3 linked regions of the Anolis sagrei genome follow. The protein of the gene in region 3 purifies or fractionates together with the protein of the main gene of each other region. This does not show direct contact. Links are inferred from orthologs where the notes say so. Each region holds a gene or a part of one and is shown on either strand. Other genes may lie near its edges.

What was found.
Region 1: the proteins of SNRPB2 (region 3) and GEMIN5 purify together in Homo sapiens (co-immunoprecipitation; 3 studies listed by BioGRID and IntAct, with this or other methods). This does not show direct contact. The link is inferred for Anolis sagrei from reciprocal best matches to the Homo sapiens genes SNRPB2 and GEMIN5.
Region 2: the proteins of SNRPB2 (region 3) and SNRNP70 purify together in Homo sapiens (affinity purification with mass spectrometry; 5 studies listed by BioGRID and IntAct, counting the BioPlex papers as one, with this or other methods). This does not show direct contact. The link is inferred for Anolis sagrei from reciprocal best matches to the Homo sapiens genes SNRPB2 and SNRNP70.

The regions. Positions count from the first base shown.
Region 1 is NC_090022.1:81,734,910-81,742,311, forward strand, and holds the start of GEMIN5 (gem-associated protein 5), read left to right. Parts: upstream 1-4,256; 5' UTR 4,257-4,353; coding exon 4,354-4,516; intron 4,517-7,402. Other genes in the region: MRPL22 (large ribosomal subunit protein uL22m), read right to left, coding at 3,984-4,029, 4,142-4,157. UniProt on the Homo sapiens protein: The SMN complex catalyzes the assembly of small nuclear ribonucleoproteins (snRNPs), the building blocks of the spliceosome, and thereby plays an important role in the splicing of cellular pre-mRNAs.
Region 2 is NC_090026.1:28,579,632-28,587,625, forward strand, and holds the start of SNRNP70 (U1 small nuclear ribonucleoprotein 70 kDa), read right to left. Parts: upstream 3,147-7,994; 5' UTR 3,027-3,146; intron 1-3,026. UniProt on the Homo sapiens protein: Component of the spliceosomal U1 snRNP, which is essential for recognition of the pre-mRNA 5' splice-site and the subsequent assembly of the spliceosome. SNRNP70 binds to the loop I region of U1-snRNA.
Region 3 is NC_090021.1:157,445,617-157,452,592, forward strand, and holds the start of SNRPB2 (U2 small nuclear ribonucleoprotein B''), read right to left. Parts: upstream 3,092-6,976; 5' UTR 2,994-3,091; intron 1,113-2,993; 5' UTR 1,101-1,112; coding exon 1,037-1,100; intron 1-1,036. UniProt on the Homo sapiens protein: Involved in pre-mRNA splicing as component of the spliceosome. Associated with sn-RNP U2, where it contributes to the binding of stem loop IV of U2 snRNA.

The sequences.
Region 1 (7,402 bases), on a different chromosome or scaffold from region 3:
GGGAACAGAGATAGAATGAAAATGTCTAGTCATAGCTCCTAACTGCAGAGCTTAAGCCACTTGTTAATGCCACTGTTTCAAGTCCCAATTACTGTTCTTTGATAACTTCACAGGACAGCTTGAAAACAGTAATGAAAGACACATAAAAATTCAAAGAGGTCCTGAGACAGCAGGAGGTAATATTCCAGATTAAAGCAAGACCAGGCCTTAGAAGAGTAAAAGTCTTGCTTTTTCTGTATATGAAGGAAATTTTATCTCAAGGGAATACAAACTGACCATTGATGCTAATTAGAATCATACTGATTTTGAAAGCTTTAAGGAAACTAAAAACCAATGGGGCAAAATTTAGATAAATAAACAGCAACCTCTAACAAGACATCAATTTCAACTGAAATAAACTATTCTTTTTATGAAGTGGTTTTCTTCTCTTTAAAATATAAAATGGTCTTCACTTGATATAATGAGCACTTGATTCTATTATTCCTAACTCAAGAAAACATAATTATGCTTATATCAATAACAGCTTAATGATAAAGGAGCAGAATAAAAAGACAAACAAAAAAGGAGCAAGAAACGACTGCTTACATTAACTATTCTCTACTTATTTCATCAAATTTGAAATCATGGAATTTAGAGCTATTAAGAGCTTTTACCTGAGAGTAGACAATACTGAATGGACAAATAGTCTGACATGGGATAACTCAATGTTATTGTATGTCTCATGGAGTAAATGTACTGAAAAATCCAGCCCTACAGGTTGTTCAGCACTAGGAGAAGCTGGATTACCATAATGTCTTGGCACTAACAGAATACTGGCACTGTCAATTTCTAAATATGTTGGGGAGATGTAATTGTATGAAGGAAGAGATCACTTCTGAAGTCACCAATGACTTGAAATGATTTAACATGACGTTGCCTTTCAGCTGAAATGTGTCCTTTTATTTTGGTGGATTTGGAGTAATGGGAGATTAGGGGACCAAAATTATCATTCTGATGAGATGATTTGGAGTTTTCAGAGGCAAGTTTTACATGAATTTTTTTGCTGGCATCAGAGGACTTTGGAGGTTTCTAGAAGACATTAGAGACCCAGAGGCTGTGGCAAATCACGCACATTTTTCCCACCACTGTCCTATTTCCTGATGGTACTTATCCTCAGAGGCAACAAAGGATGGAAGCTACTATTAATTCCATCAGATCCCATATTTTTTTCAGATCAGTTGACCTAATAGTTGTGATGGCAAATACTCCTCAATTTTGTTCTGTGGGCTCTTCCACACAGCCACATAACCCAGAATATCAAGGTAGATAATCCACAATCTAGTTCAATGTGGATTTTATACAGCTGTGTGGAAGGGACCTGTGAAAGCTGATGCAGAGAGCAATTATCTTGCCCTCCCCCCAGGGTATCAACACGTGGCAAACCACAGAACCTGTAGTAATGCTGAATCTAGTTATCTACAAGAGACTGATGAAACCAACTAAGTTAAGAAAACTTTCAAAGATTTGTTTGTTGTTTCAACTATACTAAATCATGTCCTGATGGATATTCAGGCCATCCCATTACCACTTAAGATGGATGTTTTATATGTTCTCTGATTTTATGGTTGCTTTTGTTGTTTTCGTTTTTGTTTCTACCTGCACTTTACGGCATTGAATGTCTGCCACTGTTTGTTGCAAACTGCCCTGAGTCCCCACAGGGAGACAACGGATAGAAATAAAAATTATCATCATCATCATATTCAGTTACTACATCTGTAACTTCTTGAAATTTTACTATAGTATGACCCCTGTATCTGCATGTTATACATTCTGTCTCCCTCACCCCCCCCCCCACCCCCCGGATACCTGAAACTGTGGAGAACGGCAAACCATGTATTTAACTATACATGGCCAATAATATATTTGTGGATGGAACGCTTTATGAACTGTAGGTAAGTGAAATTGTGGGTAATGACTCCATTGATAAGGGGGGCATGCAGTATCTCAGATGCACACAAAGTAGACATGAGAAATGACTACAGAATATTTTGTGTAACAGACAGGTTGCAGGCAGGATCCATTTGTGAAGTTAGACTGTGATGGTGGTAGGAAAGAAACGTGCTTTCTTCATTGTCATTGTACCAGGAAAGTAACAGCCAGCAGAACTACTTCAGAGCATCAACTGTATGACAATATCCTCCAATATGAAGACTACATACACTATAGTACACTGTACCAAGTTTAGAAGATTTGACAATTTTCTAGTTTAGAAACTGCTTTTTTATTTTTGTAAAGAACCAACTGGAGTCTAGACTATTGTCTTTATCCCATTTGCATAATAAAGTATTTTTGTGAAACTGAGGCCCCTTCTACACTATATATTCCACATTATCAAAGCAGATAACCCAGATTATCTGCTTTGAACAGGATTATATGAGTGTACACTGCCAGATAATCCAGTTCAAATCAGATAATCTGGATTTTATATGGCAGTGTAGAAGGGGGCTGATTCCTGCTAAAACCCATGAAAGACCTTAATCGACACTACTTTAAAACAGATGCTGCATGCCTCTCTGAATGTTCAGTTCTTAAGCATCTGGGGGCCCTTCCACATAGCCATATAATCCAGAATATCAATGCAGATAATCCCACAATATCTGTTTTGAACTGGGTGATATGAGGGTCCTTCCACACAGTCCTATATCTCAGAATATCAAGACAGAAACTACCACAGTATCGGCTTTCAACTGAGTTACCTGAGTCCACATTTAGATAATGTGGAATTTTCTGCCTTGAAATTCTGGGATATAGAGCTGTGTGAAAGGGCTCTGAGACCACACTCCCATATATTCCAGTTCAAAGCTGAAAATGTGGGATTTCCTGCCTTGGTATTCTGGGATATAGTGCAGTGTGGATATAGGATTGTGTGGAAGGTCCCTCAGTGGAGTGGCTGTGCTCTCTTGCTATGTGATCAGCTCCTGGGCTATAGGGTCTGTCTAGGGTTCCTTCCATGCAGCTGAATAAAATTCCACATTTTTTGCTTTGAAGCAGCAGCATGGATTTGGGGCCCTTCCACACAGCCCTATATCCCAGAATATCAAGGCAGGGAATCCAACATTATCTGAGTGTAGACTCTGATAACCCAGATCAAAACGGTTTTAAATGGTGTATTTTAATATTTTGATAAATGTTTTTTAATGTTTATGTATTGTATGTGAATTTGTATCCCGGCATTGAATGTTTGCCATGTATATCCTGTGCTCCGCCCTGAATCCCCTTTGGGGTGAGAAGGGCAGAATATAAATGTTTTAAATAAATAAATAAATAAATAAAGCAGATATCGTGGGATTTTCTGCCTTGATATTCTGGGATATAGGGCTGTTTAGAAGGGCCCTCAGATAATCCAGTTCAAAGCAGATATTGTGATATGTTCTGCCTTGATGTCCTAGAATATCAAGGCAGGGAATCCCATATTATCTGAGTGTGGACTCGGATAACTCAGTTCAAAGCAGATATTGTGAGATTTGCTGCCTTGATATTTGTGAGATTTGCTGCCTTGATTCTATGGCTGTGTGGAAGGGCCCTGGAAGAGCTCTGGATAATATAGCCGCGTGGATTCAGATAACCCAGTTCAAAGCAGATATTGTGGATTATCTGCTTTGATATTCTGGGTTATATGGCTGTGTGGAAAAGCCCCCAGATGCCTAAGAACTGAACATTCAAAGAGGCATGTAGAATCTGTTTTAAAGTAGTGTTGATTACAGTCTTTCGTGGGTTTTAGCAGGAATCAGGCCACACAGCCATATAACCCAGAATATCAAGGTAGAAAATTCCATAATATCTGCTATGAACTGGGTTATCTGAGTCCACACTGCCATATTTTCCAATTCAATGCGGAAAATGTGGGATTTTATTTAGCTGTGTGGAAGGGGCCTGGGGGCTAGAGTGCAGCAGGCCACCTGGCCCTCCTGTGAAGCCTTTCCAGCCGACGAAGGAAGACTCACCTGCTTGCCCGAATCCACCCACTGACGCTCCACGTTTGGGCTGCCGCTAGAAAGAAGAAAAAACATAAACAGTAAGATGTTGATTGAGATGGCGAAGCAGATCCGGCATCGCGTCTATGAAACACTTTGCCACCGCAAGCACCTTCCTTCACACTCACCCCAGAGCGCCGCCATTTTGGAAGCCCTCCTTCAGGGCTTTACGGCAAAGGCCTTCAAGAACGCGCCGCTTGGCCCCACGCGGCCACCGTTTTTCCCGCGAGCGGGCGCGTTTGCAACAGCACGTGAGGCGCGTACTTTGCGGCAGCGTGTGGTAACCGAAGCATCGGAGGCGTGAGAGAGAGAGGAGAGGAGAGCAGTAGTGCCGAAGCAGATGGAGGGCTCTCCAGGCGCCGCGGAGCGAGTGCTGCCGGCCTCTCCCAACTGGTACTGCGGCCGGTGCAGCGACGCCTCCGAGGACGGGCGCCTCTTCGGCTTCGCGGCTCGCCACACGGTGTGCCTCCTGCAGGCCCGCCCCGCCGCCCCCGCCTTCTATGGTATTTATTTATTTATTTATTTATTTGCTTCATTTCTATACCGCATTTTCAGCCCAAAAAGGCGACTCAATGCGGTTTACAGGGTACAAATTATCATAACAATCTTAGTGCAATTAAAAACACAACAAATATAACAACAGGATCAACAACACCGATCCACAACAATTAACAAACAACATGAAACAAACATAGCGCCTCAATGAAATCAGATCCAAACTCATCATCCTTGTATCATTCCTATGTTCCATTTACTGTCTTCCTATGTTCAGTTGCACTGTTAACCAAACGCTTGTTCATAAAGCCAGGTCTTGACCTTTCTCCGAAACGCCAGCAATGATGGTGCCTGTCTGATGTCCACTGGTAAGGCATTCCATAGCCGAGGGGCCACCACTGAGAAGGCCCTGTCTCTCGTCCCCGCCAAGCGCGCCTGTGACGCAGGCGGGACCGAGAGCAGGGCCTCCCCAGACGATCTTAATGTTCGAGTCGGTTCATAGGTGGAGATGCGTTCGGAGAGGTAAGAGGGGCCAGAACCGTTCAGGGCTTTATAGGCTAAAGCCAGCACCTTGAATTGTGCCCGGTAGCAGATTGGCAGCCAGGTACGCAGCCAGGCCAGGCCTCCTCCTTTAAGGGCCTCCCTTTAAGGGCGCCTCCGCTCTGTCGAAGGAGTGCAGCTCCACACCGCTTCAACCGCCCTGGCACCATGCTACAGGAGCCCGTTGTACAAGATCTTGAGCCTTCCCTCAGCCCATGGGTGTTGAAGTGGTCTCAAACTATTAAATCTGGGTGTTTTCTTTTTGTAGGTTTTTTCGGGCTATATGGCCATGTTCTAGAGGCATTTTCTCCTGACGTTTCGCCTGCATCTATGGCAAGCATCCTCACAGGTAGTGAGGATGCTTGCCATAGATGCAGGCGAAACGTCAGGAGAAAATGCCTCTAGAACGTGACCATATAGCCCGAAAAAACCTACAACAACCCAGTGATTCCGACCATGAAAGCCTTCGACAATGTATTAAATCTACCCTGTGAATGCACCCTGAGAGATAGAAATTGGTAGCATGAGCTTTCCTGGACGAAAGCGTTTCATCCAATGCAATTCGTACCTCTACATGAGTCTCCAGAGCTGTGGTTCTCAACTTCCAGAAATCCCAGTTTACAAGTTATTAGGATTTCAGAGAGTTGAACGCCAAAACATCTGGGTACCCACAGGATGGGAACCACAGCTCAAGAGCAAGCAAACTCTTGCTTTCCCCAATTCATTAAAACGGTGGCCCTCGTGGAAATGAGAGCCCCCTTATTTAGGCACAGAATGCCTCTACAGTCTACCCTAGGCCCGGCTGTTAGGAATTGTGGGAGTTGAAGTCCAAAACAACTGAAGGCCGAAGTTTGCCCATGCCTGGACCACACTGTAGAATAAATGTGATTTGACCTTGCCTTAACTGCCCTGGCTCAATCTTATGGGATCCTGGGACTTGTTGTTTCTTGAGACACCCAAACTCTAGTAGAGAAAACAGAAGGCCTTGTAAAACTTTGGCTGTTTTTTATCTGTTAATAAGTTTAAAGTTAGACTGCTTATTTATTGTTTATTGTTTCAATTTTTTTTTGTGTCGGGAGCGACTTGAGAAACTGCAAGTCGCTTCTGGTGTGAGAGAATTGGCCATCTGCAAGGACATTGCCCAGAAGACGCCCGGATGTTTTGATGTTTTACTATCCTTGTGGGAGGCTTCTTTCATGTCCCTTCATGGGGAGTTGGAGCTGACAGAGAGAGCTCATCCACGCTCTCCCCAGATTTGAACCTGTGACCTGTCGTTTCATATGATTTGTTTTGATGTAATTTATTTGTATATTTTTCCTTTTTGACATTGAATGTTTGCCATATATATTAAAAACCATCCTGAGTTCCTTTGGGGAGATAGGGTAGTTTACAATTAAGGATTATTATTATTACTACAACTCCCATGAGCTTCAGCCCCTGTTATATTTTAGTAATGCAGGCTCTTGTGTGTGTTGCGGAGGATTAGTTTGGGAATAGTAATAATATGCTCTGAGAACTTCATGATTCTTCTTAAAATAGGATCTAGAGAGCATACCCTTAGTGTGGGACATGCAATGGGAGCAGGGTATAGGGTTACAGCCTGTGCTGGATGGGGTCGCACTCCCCTTGAAGGCGCAGGTTCGCAGCTTGGGTGTGATCCTGGATTCATCGTTGAGCCTGGATCCCCAGGTTTCAGCGGTGACCAGGGGAGCATTTGCACAGCTTAGGCTCGTGCGCCAGCTGCGCCCGTACCTTGGGAAGTCTGACTTGGCCACGGTGGTACACGCTCTGGTCACATCCCGCCTTGACTACTGCAACGCTCTCTACGTGGGGCTGCCCTTAAAGACGGCCCGGAAGCTTCAGCTAGTCCAGCGCGCGGCAGCCATGTTGTTAACAGGACCAGGACGCAGGGAGCATACAACGCCCTTGTTGTTCCAGCTCCACTGGCTGCCGATTTGCTACCGGGCCCAATTTAAGGTGCTGGTGTTATCCTACAAAGCCCTAAACGGTTCTGGCCCAAAGTACCTTGCGGACCGCATCTCGGCCTATGAGCCCACGAGGACCTTGAGATCATCTGGGGAGGCCCTTCTCTCGATCCCGCCTGCCTCACAGGCGCGTCTGGCGGGGACGAGAGAGAGGGCCTTCTCGGTGGTGGCCCCCCGCTGTGGAACTCCCTCCCTGCTGACATCAGACAGGCGCCCTCCCTTATGGCCTTTCGCAAGGGCCTGAAGACATGGCTTTTCGAGATGGCATTCAACTGAGTGCTATGTTACTGGAAATGACAACTGGAATGGATTACGACTACGAGATTGGTTATGATTCCACGATAAGACGGAGCGGATTATTTTAATGTA
Region 2 (7,994 bases), on a different chromosome or scaffold from region 3:
GTAACTCTCAACCAAGGAAAGAAGGAAAGGAAGAAAAGAAGTAAAGGAAGAAGGAATGAAGTGAGAAAGGATGAAGAGAAATGCAAGAATAGAAGAAAGGAGTCAAGGAAGGAGTAAGCAATGAGGGGGAAAGGAAGGAGGAAAGGAACTGGGAAGTAACTGGCCTTTTGCTCACAAGTTAAAACCTTTCTGTGGAATCAGGCCTTTCTCAATAACCTATAAAGGCAATGACCAGACAACTATTGGTAAGCCATATTATTATTGCTATTTCGGACTTGGCAATGTTGACACAACCAAAAGTCTCCAAATAAGGCCTCCGGAAATATATTTGTATTGTAGAATAACTGTCAAAAAAAGTGTTGTCGAAGGCTTTCATTCACAGAATCACTGGGTTGCGATGAGTTTTCTGGGCTGTATGGCCATGTTCCAGAAGCATTCTCTCCCGATGTTTTGCTCACATATATGGCAGGCACCCTCAGAGGTTGTGAGGTATATTGGAAACTAGACGAAGGCGTGCCTGATGGCACAGTGGGTCAAACCGCTAAGCTGCTGAACTTGCTGACCAAAAGGTTGGCGGTTTGAATTTGGGGAGTGGGATAAGTTAGCCCCAGCTTCTGTCAACTTAGCAGTTCAAAAACATCCAAATGTGAATAGATCAATAGGTACCATCTTGGTGGGAAGGTAACAGCGCTCCATGCAGTCATGCTGGCCACATGACCTTGGAGGTGTCTATGGACAATGGCCACATGACCTTGGAGGTGTCTATGGACATCTGGGGACCCCAGGTTGAGAACCATGTATTGTCGAAGGCTTTCATGGCCGGAATCACTGGGTTGCGGCGAGTTTTCCGGGCTGTATGGCCATGTGCCTGAAGCATTCTCTCCGGACGTTTATAGATCTGTGGAAGGTCCGGGGTGGGAGAAATAGCTCTTGGTTGCTGTATGTTTTTCAGGCTGTATGGCCATGTTCCAGAAGCATTCTCTCCTGACGTTTATAGATCCGTTGAAGGTCTGGTGTGGGAGAAATAACTCTTGGTTGCTGTACGTTTTTCAGGATGTATGGCCATGTTCCAGAAGCATTATCTCCTGAAGTTTATAGATCTGTGGAAGGGCTGGGGTGGGAGAAATAACTCTTAGTTGCTGTAAGTTTTTCGGGCTGTATGGCCATATTTATTTATCGTGTCATCAGCAACCAGACCATTGTGTTACATTTCTAACAGAACAAAACAAACAAACAGATAAAAAAACACAAATTCTGCAAACTTGGTAGTTGATTAAATGTCCTTTGACCAGTAGCTGGCCACTTGGAGTGCCTCTGGTGTTGCCGCAAGAAGGTCCTCCATTGTGCATGTGGCAGGGCTCAGGTTGCATTGCAGCAGGTGGTCAGTGGTTTGCTCTTCTCCGCACTTGCATGTCGTGGATTCCACTTTGTGGCCCCATTTCTTGAGATTGGCGCTGCATCTCGTGGTGCCAGAGCGCAGTCTGTTCAGTGCCTTCCAAGTCGCCCAGTCTTCTGTGTGCCCAGGGGGGAGTCTCTCATTTGGTATCACCCACGGATTGAGGTGCTGGGTTTGAGCCTGCCACTTTTGAACTCTCGCTTGCTGAGGTGTTCCAGCGAGTGTCTCTGTAGATTAGGGCTGGGTGGTTTCGTTCATTAATTTCGTAATTCATTATTAATTCGTATTTAAATTAGCTTACGATCCGATATTGAGCCATTTTGGAATAGTGTGAGGAGTTAAATAGATTCGAAACAATTTTTCAACTTATTTTGTAATTGTTTCGTAATTGTTTCGAAATTATTTTCGCATGCCTGGTGCAAGTTTTATAGTTGTTTGTTTTATCACACCAACAGTCAACAACAGAGGGAGAGGGAAGCTTTAGAAGTTCCCCCTGTCCCATTTGGAGGTTTTTTCAGCATATTTGGAGGTTTTTTTTAGCATATTGTGCAATCGCGTCCGCCATTAACAAATCGATTCGAAATTTACGAAATTTCGTATATTTCAAAAATTTTAAAAGGAAAATTTCGGAATTCTTTAAAGAAACGAAACGTGATGGACCCCTTAAAAACGAATCGAGTTTAGAAACAAATTCTTCCGTGGTTACCCAGCCCTACTGTAGATCTAAGAAAAGTATTTCTTGATTTAAGTCGTTGATGTGCTGGCTGATACCCAAACAGCCATGTAATGGCCATGTTCCAGAAGCATTCTCTCCTGACGTTTCGCCTCCTGAGGATGCCTGTCATAGATGCAGGCAAAACGTCAGAAGAGAATGCTTCTGGAGCATGGTCATACAGCCCGAAAATTTTATAGCAACCAAGAGTTATTTCTCCCACCTTGGACCTTCCACAGATACATAAACGTCAGAGAGGAAGCTTCTGGCACATGGCCATACAGCCGGGAAAACTCACCACAACCCAGTGTCTAAAAAAGGAATGGTTTGCCCATGGAGGCTCCTTCTTTGGAAGCTTTTATGCAGAGGCTGGATGGCCATCTGTCAGGGGTGATTTGAATGCAATATTCCTGCTTCTTGGCAGGGGGTTGGACTGGATGGCCCGTGAGGTCTCTTCCAACTCTTCGATTCTATGATTCTATGCCTGTTGTAAACCCCACGCGGCCTAGGCCTCAAGCTTCAGGTCCTCATCTGCGTCACTAAAGTTAAATGTACGGCAGTGGCGCCTACCTCGCAAGGCCGCTGTAAGGAAAAAACGCTGGCCATTAATATTGCATTGGCATCCCAGCAGCCTTTGCGGAGCCCCCACGCCCCTTCTTCCCTCCTCCGCGGCAGGCCTTCCCCTGCGACTCGAGGCCAATTTCCCTCTCCGGCCTTTCCCCGGGGCCTACTTCGGCCCTTCTGCTTCAAGCCTCCCTCCAAGCCCCGCGCCCGCTCTTCCCAAGCCCCTCCCTCACTCCGGCCGAGGCGAAAGGAGCCTTCTTCCTCTCACAAAAACACAACAGAATAAATATACATATTCCCCGCCACAAAAGCACCACAACACCTTCTCCCCACAACCGACCGCGCCTCACACACCCTCGACTCTCCCCCGCGGAGGGGTCCTCGGCCGCGTTACGCTTCCTCCTCTCCTCGGCGCCTCCCGCCGCCTCAGGCTGGGGCCTACTCCACCGTCCTTCTGCGCATGCTCGGGATCCTTCCGCGCCGGGACTCGTTTCTGTTCTCTTGAAATGATTCCTCCGCCAGAGCTTTGCTGTAGGAGAAGCGGCTCTGAGGAGAAAGAGTGACGCTGCTAATATAGTTCCAGTCACAAAGCAAAAAGAGGCGGGGATTGGGTTTGAAAGAGATGAAGTCAGAGGGTCTAAAACCAAAATCCAGAGGAAGAAATGCTTCTCACACATTTGAGAGCCTTGAACTGTTATTCCTGGTTTCGTTTTAAAATATCAATAAGATAAAATATCAATAATAATAATAATGCTGGTAGATTATAACATTCATAAAGGGGTCTCTCTCAAAAATGTGCTCTTTGAAGATGAAGTACCATCTTTACATTTATTTATTTATATTTCAGATGAAGTACCCTGTCTGCTGAGACACTGGAATTAGCCCAAGAAAGGAGGAAAGCAAAAGGAAACAGGGATAAGGGGAGATATGCCCAGTTAAATGCGCAATTCTAGAGGTTAGCCAGAAGAGAGAAGGAACTATTTTTAAATAAGCAATGCATGGAACTGGAAGAAGACAACAGAATAGGAAGGACAAGAGACCTCTTCCAGAAAATTAGAAACACTAGAGGTAAATTTCAGGTAAAAAGTGGTACGATAAGAAACAAAGATGGCAGGGACCTAACAGAAGCTGAAGAGATCAAGAGAAGGTGGCGAGACTATACAGAAGATCTGTATAGGAAGGATAATAATATCGAGGATAGCTTTGACGGTGTGGTGAATGAATTAGAACCAGACATCCTGAAGAGTGAGGTTGAATGGGCCTTAAGAAGCATTGCTAACAACAAGGCAGCAGGAGACGACGGGATCCCAGCTGAACTGTTTAAAATCTTAAAAGATGATGCTGTCAAGGTGATGCATGCCATATGCCAGCAAATATGGAAAACACAAGAATGGCCATCAGACTGGAAAAAATCAACTTATATCCCCATACCAAAAAAGGGAAATGCGAAAGACTGCTCAAACTTTCGTACAGTGGCCCTTATTTCTCATGCCAGTAAGGTAATGCTCAAGATCCTGCAAGGAAGACTCCAGCAAGACATGGAGCGAGAGTTGCCAGATGTTCAAGCAGGGTTTAGAAAAGGCAGAGGAACGAGAGACCAGATTGCCAATATCCGCTGGATAATGGAGAAAGGCAGGGAGTTTCAGAAAAACATCTATTTCTGCTTCATTGACTGTGTGGATCATAATAAATTGTGGGATGGGCATACCAAGCCCCCTTGTCTCTCTCCTGAGGAATCTGTACAAGGACCAAGTAGCAACAGTCAGAACTGACCACGGAACAACAGACTGGTTCAAGATTGGGAAAGGCGTACGGCAAGGCTGCATACTCTCACCCAACCTTTTTAACTTGTATGCAGAACACATCATGCGATGTGCGGGGCTGGATGAATGCAAAGCTGGGGTGAAAATTGCTGGAAGAAACATCAACAACCTCAGTATGTAGATGACACCACTCTGATGGCCGAAAGTGAGGAGGAGCTGAGGAGCCTTCTAATCAAGGTGAAAGAAGAAAGCGCAAAAGCTGGGTTGCAGCTAAACATAAAAAAAACCAAGATTATGGCAACAGGAATGATTGACAACTGGAAAATAGAAGGAGAAAATGTGGAGGCCGTGACAGACTTTGTATTTCTAGGTGCAAAGATTACTGCAGATGCAGACTGTGGCCAGGAAATCAGAAGACGCTTACTTCTTGGGAGGAGAGCAATGTCCAATCTCGATAAAATAGTAAAGAGTAGAGACATCACACTGGCAACATAGATCCGCATAGTCAAAGCCATGGTATTCCCTGTAGTAACCTACGGATGTGAGAGCTGGACCTTAGGAAAGGCTGAGCGAAGGAAGATAGATGCTTTTGAGCTGTGGTGTTGGAGGAAAGTTCTGAGAGTGCCTTGGACTGCGAGAAGATCCAACCAGTTCATCCTCCAGAAAATGAAGCCCGACTGCTCACTGGAGGGAAAGATACTAGAGACAAAGTTGAAGTGCTTTGGCCACATCATGAGGAGACAGGAAAGCCTAGAGAAGACAATCATGCTGGGGAAAGTGGAAGGTAAAAGAAAGAGCAGCCGACCAAGGGCAAGATGGATGGATGGTATCCTTTTATAATAGTTTTTTTTATTAAGATTTTAAGAATAACATCGAAAGAGGGAGAATATTAAAAAAGATGATAGGAAAGTAGGAAAAAAAGTAAGAAGTACATCCCCCTACCCCCAAGTCCACCAGAAAAATACAAAAATATAAAAGACACAAAAAAATGAAAGAAAAAAAAGAAAAAAAAGAAGATAAAAATTGACTTCCATCTCTCCATCAGGTGTTGTGTCCTCAATGATTTTTCCATTATATCCACTTCATAATGTTCCTCTTATTTATTTATTTCCTTTTCGTAGTTTTCATATAGAGTCCAATCTGTCCTCTTTATCGGGTTCCCGGTATTCTTTTTCAAGAAAAAAAAAGTTAATTCGTCAATTTCTCTTATTTCTCTTAATTTCCCTAACCACTCTTCAGTGGTAGGGATATCTTCCTGTTTCCAAAACTTCGCCAATAATATTCTCGCTGCTGTTGTAGCATAGGTAAATAGTCTATCTTCGTATCCTTGAAGTGACTGGACTGACCTTGAAGGAGCTGGGGGTGGTGACGGCCGACAGGAAGCTCTGGCGTGGGCTGGTCCATGAGGTCACGAAGCGTCGGAGATGACTGAACGAATGAACAACACCATCTTTATATTTATTTAATTATATTTATATTTAAGATGAAGTACCATCTTTATATTTATTTATATTTAAGATGAAGTACCACCTTTATAATTATTTATTTATATTTAAGATGAAGTACCATCTTTATATTTATTTAATTAATTATATTTATATTTAAGATAAAGTACCATCTTTATATTTATAAATATATTTATATTTAAGCTGAGTCCTTCTGGATTCTTCACTTACGTTTGAGGCTCAGGCGTCGGTGGTGGCCGGGAGGGCCTTTGCACAATTAAGACTTGTGCGTCAACTGCGACCGTACCTTGGGAAGGCGGATCTGGCCAAGGTGGTCCACGCCTTAGTCACCTCTAGACTGGATTACTGCAATGCACTCTATGTGGGGCTGCCCTTGAAAATGGCCCGGAAATTTCAGATGATCCAATGGGCGGCAGCCAGGTTGTTAACTGGGGCTCCTTACAGAGAGCAGTCATCCCTCCTGTTCAGGGAGCTCCACTGGTTGCCATTAATCTACCGGACCCAATTCAAGGTGCAGGTTCTTACTTATAAAGCCCTGAACGGTTTGGGACCCACCTACCTATGTGATCGCATCTCTGTATACGAACCCACATGATCCCTTCGATCTTCCGGAGAGGCCCTGCTCTCGATCCCACCAGCATCACAGGCATGTTTGGTGGGGACGAGGGAGAGGGCCTTTTTGGTGGTGGTCCCTTGACTCTGGAACTCACTCCCTAAAGACATCAGACAGGCCCCAACCCTGGCAGTCTTCAGGAGGAGCTTGAAGACGTGGCTGTTCCAGTGTGCCTTCCCGGTATAATGAATCCCATAGCACTTTGTCCTCCAAAGCACTTTATATTTCCCTGAGTCTGCTTGTATGCCCTCCACAAACACTAATATCACCTTTCGTTCATGGCCCAGCATTATTTCCAATTTTAACTCTACATTTGGCCTTCCCGCTGTTTTAATGATGTGTTGCTTTTTTGATAATGTTGTGTACTTTATTGTCTATGTTTTTAATTGCTTGTATTGATGTTTTATTGCTTTTGTTGTGTTTGGGCTCGGCCTCATGTAAGCCACACCGAGTCCCTTGGGGAGAAAGTTAATAAATAATAAATAAATAAATAAATAATTTAAGTAATTACTTTTACATTTAAGATGAAGTACCATCTTTATATTTATAAATATATTTATATTGAATGGTTGTCTTAAAAAGGTATGGGCAAACTTGGGCCTTCCTCCTGGTGTTTTGGACTCCAACTCCCACCATTCCTAACAGCATCAGTCCCTTTCCTTTTTCCCCTCAGCCGCTTAAGACCACTACTTTCAAAGTGAAGACTACACTATTAAACAGGAACTGACACTTTCAAGCCAGGAACAGAACTTTGTCATTATTATTGTCATTCAGAGGCTGCATGGCCATCTGGCCAGACAGGTTTGGTCGTGTACTAGTGCCTGGGAATAACAGGCACAAGTGTATAACCCGAAAACAAACCAACATAAAAAATCCCATATTTTCCAGGTGTATGGACATACAGAGATACGAATATCCTCATTTTCCGAACAGAGCTGGGATATTCCTGCAACTGAAAATATTTTGTTTTTAGTACTTTGTAGTGATGCCTCCCATGTTTTCAGGGGATATTGATAAAGGTACTGTGTGACTGGGTGCTGGGTTATATGGCTGTGTGGAATTGTGGGAGTTGTAGTTTTACCCAGTCTTTAGTCTTCTCTGTCAAAGAATGCCGTTGTCACACCAAACTACAAAACCCATGATTCCATAGCACTGAGCCATGGCAATTAAATTGGTCTCAAATGGCATTACTTTTACAAATTTGATGTACTCCCAGTTTACAGTTAGCTTTAGTAGTACAAAACAGCCCACATACCATATATTTGCTAACTGAAGTGCCTAGCAGCAGATGGCACTGTCAGATAGTGAATGTTTTAGAAGCTGCCATCCAAAGAAAATGTACTTGGATATAGTAAAGATGAGAAACTAACAATATTCAAAGCAGTAGCATACTTTTCAAAATTCCAAGGGTTATTTGTTCTGTTTGATTTTCAGATAGAGAAGAACAGCCAGTCGAAGAAACAAATCAGAGTTAAACAAT
Region 3 (6,976 bases):
GGAACAGCCACGTTTTCAGGCTCCTCCTAAAGACTGCCAATGTTGGGGCATGCCTGATTTCCTTTGGAAGTGAGCTCCAGAGTTGGGGGGCCACCACCGAGAAGGTCCTCTCCCTCGTCCCCACCAATTGCGCCTGTGAAGGAGGTGGGAGAGCGAGCAGGGCCTCTCCAGATTATCAAAGAGATCGTGTGGGTTCGTACACAGAAATGCGGTCAGTTACTGTATTGCAGGTTTTGTGTACTCATACTGCAAATAAGGTAATGGAAGGCTGTTGCAGTACACTATCCTACACCATTATTAGGACACTGGGCTATAAAACTAGTGTCAAAAAGCTTTCTCTTCTCTCCACTTTCATTTTCTTTAGCACCTTTTAGATTGCAAACTGAAGGACTATGCTGTAGCCATATAAAATTCACTACACATAGATGACTCTGTCCTAAACAGTGGGCTAAAAGTGCTTCAAGTACAACATTAAATGCATGCTTCTACCACATTGTTATTGTAATTTTCCAAGAAAATATACAAACACTGCTTACAATAATAATTAAATTAACTTGTGTCACATAGACTGCTTTCCATTTTCACCAAAATGTAAAACTAGTATGACCTTGATATCTACTGGAGAAATGATACCTGACACTGTGGGCAATAGTAAACCCTATATTTTGATTGCACGTTTGCTGGATTTACACTGGAGGACCTAGAAAGGCCTACAAATAAATTTGGAGTATGGGTAATTGAAACTATAGATATCAAATTTGTGGATAATACTGTATAAATAGTTTTCAGTGCAGTCTTAAATATATGTCTTCACAAGAAAATCCTGCTGTGTCCAGGTAAAAGTGGAAAGAACTGCAGCCAAAAGGACAACAGCTAATTGTCAATATATTAAACAATTCACTCCAATAACAACCAAAACAGTTAAAGACAAAGCCTACTAGAGAGTGAAAATTATAAGCTGGAACACACACACACACATATCTTGACCCTAGGCACCAGAACATGGTAGAATAAAAGATCTGAGCTATTTTCTTACCTTCTTTTTTAATTTTGTCATTAACATTATTGATGTAAAGCGTGTGATTTGGTCGAATATCCATCTTCTAACTTCCCTAGGAAACAAGATAGCTTATTTAGCCTTTTCTCCAAGGAACTCACTTTTTTGTTTTGCATTTTTCAGGCAATTCTAATCAACCCAAGCTGATCCTACTTATGGTGTTTTTCTTGTCAAGATTTGTGTAAGTTTGCGGCAGCTTTCCTATTGGTTCTCACTTCCAAAGACAACTGTGAGCCCCACCAATGACGGAACTGGAGCAAACTTGGCACACTGAAATCCCATGACCCACTTAAGTTCTGGTGGGGTTTCTTGGGGGAAGAACTCTGGATGATGGGAGTTGCAGTACTGTCCCGCACATCATGAGATTACTGCAAACCTCTTTAGCCATAGATCTGGACCAAACCTGGCACACAGACACCCCATGACCCACTTTGAGTCCTGGTGGGGGTTTTTTTTTGGGGGGGGGGGGAGGTAGGAACCTGGATGATGAGAGTCGCAGTACCTTCACCCGCATCCAGAGACAACTGTGAACCCATCAACCATGAATCTGGACCAAAGTTGGAACAGATACCCCATGGCCCACTTTAGGTCCTAGTGGGGTTTGGGGGGGGGGGGGGTAGGAACCTGGATGATGTGGGATTTGCAGTACTTTGACCCACATCCAGAGACGACTGTGAACTCCATTAACCATGGATCAGGACCAAATTTAGCACATAGATGTCCCATGACCCACTTTAAATCCTGATGGGGTTTGGGGGTATAGGAACCTGGATTATGGGAGATGCAGTACCTTCACCCACTACTGCCAACCCCATCCAGAGGACAGGAGCAGGATTCAAAACGATCTTGACAGATTGGAGAGATGGGCCAAAACTAACAAAATGAAGTTCAACAGGGACAAATACATGATACTCCACTTTGGCAGGAAAAACGAAATGCAAAGATACAAAATGGGGGACAATGCCTGGCTCGAGAGCAGTACGTGTGAAAAAGATCTTGGAATCCTCGTGGACAACAAGTTAAACATGAGCCAACAATGTGATGTGGCGGCAAAAAAAAGCCAATGGGATTTTGGCCTGCATCAATAGGAGCATAGTGTCTAGATCTAGGGAAGTCATGCTCCCCCTCTATTCCACTTTGGTTAGACCACACCTGGAATATCGTGTCCAATTCTGGGCACCACAATTCAAGAGACATATTGACAAGCTGGAATGTGTCCAGAGGAGGGCGACTAAAATGATCAAGGGTCTGGAGAACAAGCCCTATGAGGAGCGGCTTAAGGAGCTGGGCATGTTTAGCCTGAAGAAGAGAAGGCTGAGAGGAGACATGATAGCCATGTATAAATATGTGAGAGGAAGCCACAGGGAGGAGGGAGCAACTTGTTTTCCGCTGCCCTGGAGACTAGGACACGAAACAATGGCTTCAAACTACAAGAGAGGGGATTCCATCTGAACATGAGGAAGAACTTCCTGACTGTGGGAGCCGTTCAGCAGTGGAACTCTCTGCCCGGGAGTGTGGTGGAGGCTCCTTCTTTGGAAGCTTTTAAGCAGAGGCTGGATGGCCATCTGTCAGGGGTGATTTGAATGCAATATTCCTGCTTCTTGGCAGGGGGTTGGACTGCATGGCCCATGAGGTCTCTTCCAACTCTTTGATTCTATCTGCAAGAATTTCTAACGGGTGCATTCACAAAATCCAAAAACAAGCCATGCCTTTTTTGAAAGCTAGTAGACCAGGCACGGGCAAACTTCGGCCCTCCTGATGTTTTGGACTTCAACTCCCACAATTCCTAACAGCCGGTTAGGAACTGTGGGAGTTGGGAGTTCAAAACACCTGGAAGGGCAAAGGTAGTCTATGTTGACCCAAAAAAAACCCATCTTTTGACAAAACAAATCCGAAGGATCACAATGGCAAGGCTGAACCATCCAGGACCGCCTACCTGAGCGGAGAGAAGGGACTGCGGGCTGGAGAACGAAGAGGGAAGCACGAGAGAGACGACTTCACGAGCACCGCCTTTCCGCTTCCGGGCGCAGAAGCTACTTCCGGCTCTCCATGAAGGGGCGGGGCTTTCTCACTTTAGAGCTGCCAGCATCATCGTGGCCTCATAGGGTGAGGGGAACCTTGTAGAGTCATAGTAACCTTTATAAAGAGACAGGGAGTAGGGAAAGGAAACGTTTAGTGTTGTTCTAGGAGAGCAAGGGGAGAAGGAGGAGAGAAAAACCTGGCCCTCTTGTCTTCACCTGCCTCAGGAGTATAGAGGCCTATCAAACTTATCACTAGGTTCATACAACCACTGGGCAAGAACTCTCATTCCCCCCAAAACTGGTTGGCCACATGGAATGCTGCAAAGGATCATAGAATCCTAGAGTTGGAAGAGACCTCATGGGCCATCTAGTCCAACCCCTGCCAAGAAGCAGGAATATTGCATTCAAAGCACCCCTGACAGATGGCCATTCAGCCTCTCTTTAAAAGCTTCCAAAGAAGGAGCCTCCACCACACTCCGGGGCAGAGAGTTCCACTGCTGAACGGCTCTCACAGTCAGGAAGTTCTTCCTCGTGTTCAGATGGAATCTCCTCTCTTGTAGTTCGAAGCCATTGTTCCGCGTCCTGGTCTCCAAGGAAGCAGAAAACAAGCTTGCTCCCTCCTCCCTGTGGCTTCCTCTCACATATGTATACATGGCTATCATATCTTCTCTCAGCCTTCTCTTCTTCAGGCTAAACATGCCCAGCTCCTTAAGCCGCTCCTCATTGGGCTTGTTCTCCAGACCCTTGGTTATCTTAGTCGCCCTCCTCTGGACACATTCCAACTTGTCAATATCTCTCTTGAATTGTGGTGCCCAGAACTGGACACAATATTCCAGGTGTGGTCTAACCAAAGCGGAATAGAGGGGTAGTGTTACTTCCCTAGATCTAGACACTATGCTCCTATTGATGCAGGACAAAATCCCATTGGTCTTTTTTTGCCGCCACATCACATTGTTGGCTCATGTTTAACTTGTTGTCCATGAGGACTCCAAGATCTTTTTTACACACGTACTGCTCTCGAGCCAGGCATTGTCCCCCATTCTGTATCTTTGCATTTCGTTTTTCCTGCCAAAGTGGAGTATATTGCATTTGTCACTGTTGAACTTCATTTTGTTAGTTTTAGCCCATCTCTCTAATCTGTCAAGATCGTTTTGAATTCTGCTCCTGTCCTCTGGAGTATTGGCTATCCCTCCCAATTTGGTGTCATCTGCAAACTTGATGATCATGCCTTCTAGCCCTTCATCTAAGTCATTAATAAAGATGTTGAACAGGACCGGGCCCAGGACCGAACCCTGCGGCACTCCGCTCGTCACTTCTTTCCAGGATGAAGAGGAAGCATTGGTGAGCACCCTCTGGGTTTGTCCATTTAACCAATTACTGAAAGAAGACATGAGCCAGGATAAAACAACCCAAAATCAGGTTTCTTTTATGTATAATGTCTGCTTGCTAAAGAGGTATGATAACATAATAATAATAATAATAATAATAATAATACTTTATTTATACCCCGCCACCATCTCCCCAAGGGACTCGGAGCTGCTTACATGAGGCCAGGCCCAACAACCCATCAATAAGAACAAGAAGCAATAAACAAAAACAATAAATACAATACAATTAATATAAATCACATATAAACAATAACCAATAAACAGTAACACAACAAGGATTAAAAAACCTATGGCTGGGCCAATGTAATAGTTTAAAAATTAAAAAATAAACGCTGGGCACGAACAAGGTAGGATATATCTGGTATAGGGTTTTAAAAGAGAGATGAGGGAGCGCAGTCAATCCTAAACCAATTGTAAAGTGCATTCTGAGGGCATATTGCTGAGAATTTTCCTTATTCTGGGAAGGCATACTGGAACAGCCACATTTTCAGGCTCCTCCTAAAGACTGCCAGAGTTGGGACATGCCTGATGTCCTTGGGAAGTGAGTTCCAGAGTTAGGGGGCTGATGCGGAGCATCTCCCCCCCCCCCAAGTATTTGTAGTTCGCCAAGGGCCAGACAATGGATTCTGTTGCTTCCTGACCCAGCACACATAACTGGGTTCCTGTTTCCTCTCTGTGAATTCTCTGGCTTGTGCACTGGACCCTGGCCCCTGATCAGGGAAATGTAGTTTTCTAAAGGACATTGCCCCACTCTCCACCATTTGTGAATTCCTTGCGGACCTCTTTGCCCTCACTGATTGACTTGATGCCCTATCGTCATGAACTTCCTCCACGGACTCTGAACCAGGCCTCTTGGAGAGAATAGTCTCCGCCTGTGCGTGCGCCCTTGCCAAGAAGATCATACTTCAAACAGAGATGAATTGCTTTTATCAATTGTTATTACCTCTAATAAACTTTGCTGGGTTGGGATGGGGATCTCTTTATGAAATTTATGAAACTTATGAAGATTTATGAAGAATGTATATGATATGTATAATATGAAATCTATGAGATGTACCCTTGCCCTTTTCCCTACTTTTCTCCTCTGAACTTTACCCTACTAAGAAAGGATGTGACCTGAGGCTACAGCGGAGGAAATCCAATTTCCTCAAAATAACCCCATTCATATTGACATTTTGCATGGATCAGGGTTGACAATTATCTCAAGGTTTGTTTTCAGAGTCAGACAAACAAGCCAGAGATGGGTCAACCGAAACCCGGAAAACGGACTGATTAAATCAATCATGGTATTTGTGTAAGCTCCTTTGTGATTAAGGGTCCCCTTGTCTACAGAGTTTTGAGATCCAAATGCCACCAATAGCCCCTTTTCATGTCTATACACATCTGCAATCAGAAATCAGGAAATCCTTTGTTTCTCCCGTCTGCCACCCTGCCGTGTAAGAACAAAGGCTCTCAATCAGCTGGCGGACGCCTCCCAGGCGTTCCGCCCCCTCTGAGCTGTCAAACCACGTCCCGCCTCCTGGCCGCTGATTGGACCATCTTCGGAGGCGCTCTAAGGGCTCTGATTGGCCCCCTAGAGGCGACAGCGCCCGGCGATTGGAGGGGAGGCGGGACAAGCGGCCAAGCCTCCTCCCAGCTGTTCCAGAGCCAGCCAATCAGGGCGGAGAGAGCTGACAGAAGGCGGGCGGGAGTTTCAAACCAGGTTTTCTTTGTTTTACTTGTATAAATATGCCTGGAAATCACTGTACTGTATGCTTATGGTGGAATTATCCCTGTAACGCATCCTTTTCAGCTGAATCGCAGAAATAAACGCTTCGGTCGCTGGATACCTCTTCAGCCTCTGGTGGGATTAATTCTTAATATTTTGCGCTTTGGATTGGCTTTTGCTGGCAGCTCACCAAGGTCAGAGACCCCCTTTGCGGTCTTCTGGGGCCTTCCTCGCTGGGAAAGCCCCCCAAAAAGAGCTCGATATCAGGGCCACCACTGAGAAGGCCCTCGTCCCCATCAATCGCGCCTGCGAAGGAGGCAGGAGCGCGAGCAGGGCCTCTCCTGATGATCGAAGAGATTGTGTGGGTTCGTACACAGAAATGCGGTCATGCAGGTAAGCGGGTCCCAAACCGTTCAGGTAAGAACCTGTACCTTGTATTGGGACCAGAAAATGAACGGCAGCCAATGGAGCTCCTTAAACAGGCGGGTTGACCGCTCCCTGTAAGTGACACCAGTTAGTAACCAGGCTGCCGCCCATTGTACCAATTGAAATTTCCGGGCCATTTTCAAGGGCAGCCCCACATATTGTGCACATCTGAGTGTGGACTCGGATAACCCAGTTCAAAGCAGATATTGGTGGGATTTTCTGCCTAGATATTCTGGGATATAGGACTGTGTGGAAGGGCCCTTCTACACAACCATATAAAATCCAGATTATCTGCTTTGAACTTCAATGCCCTTCCACCCAGCCCTATATCCCAGAATATCAAGCCAGGAAATCCCACATCTGAATGTGGACTCGG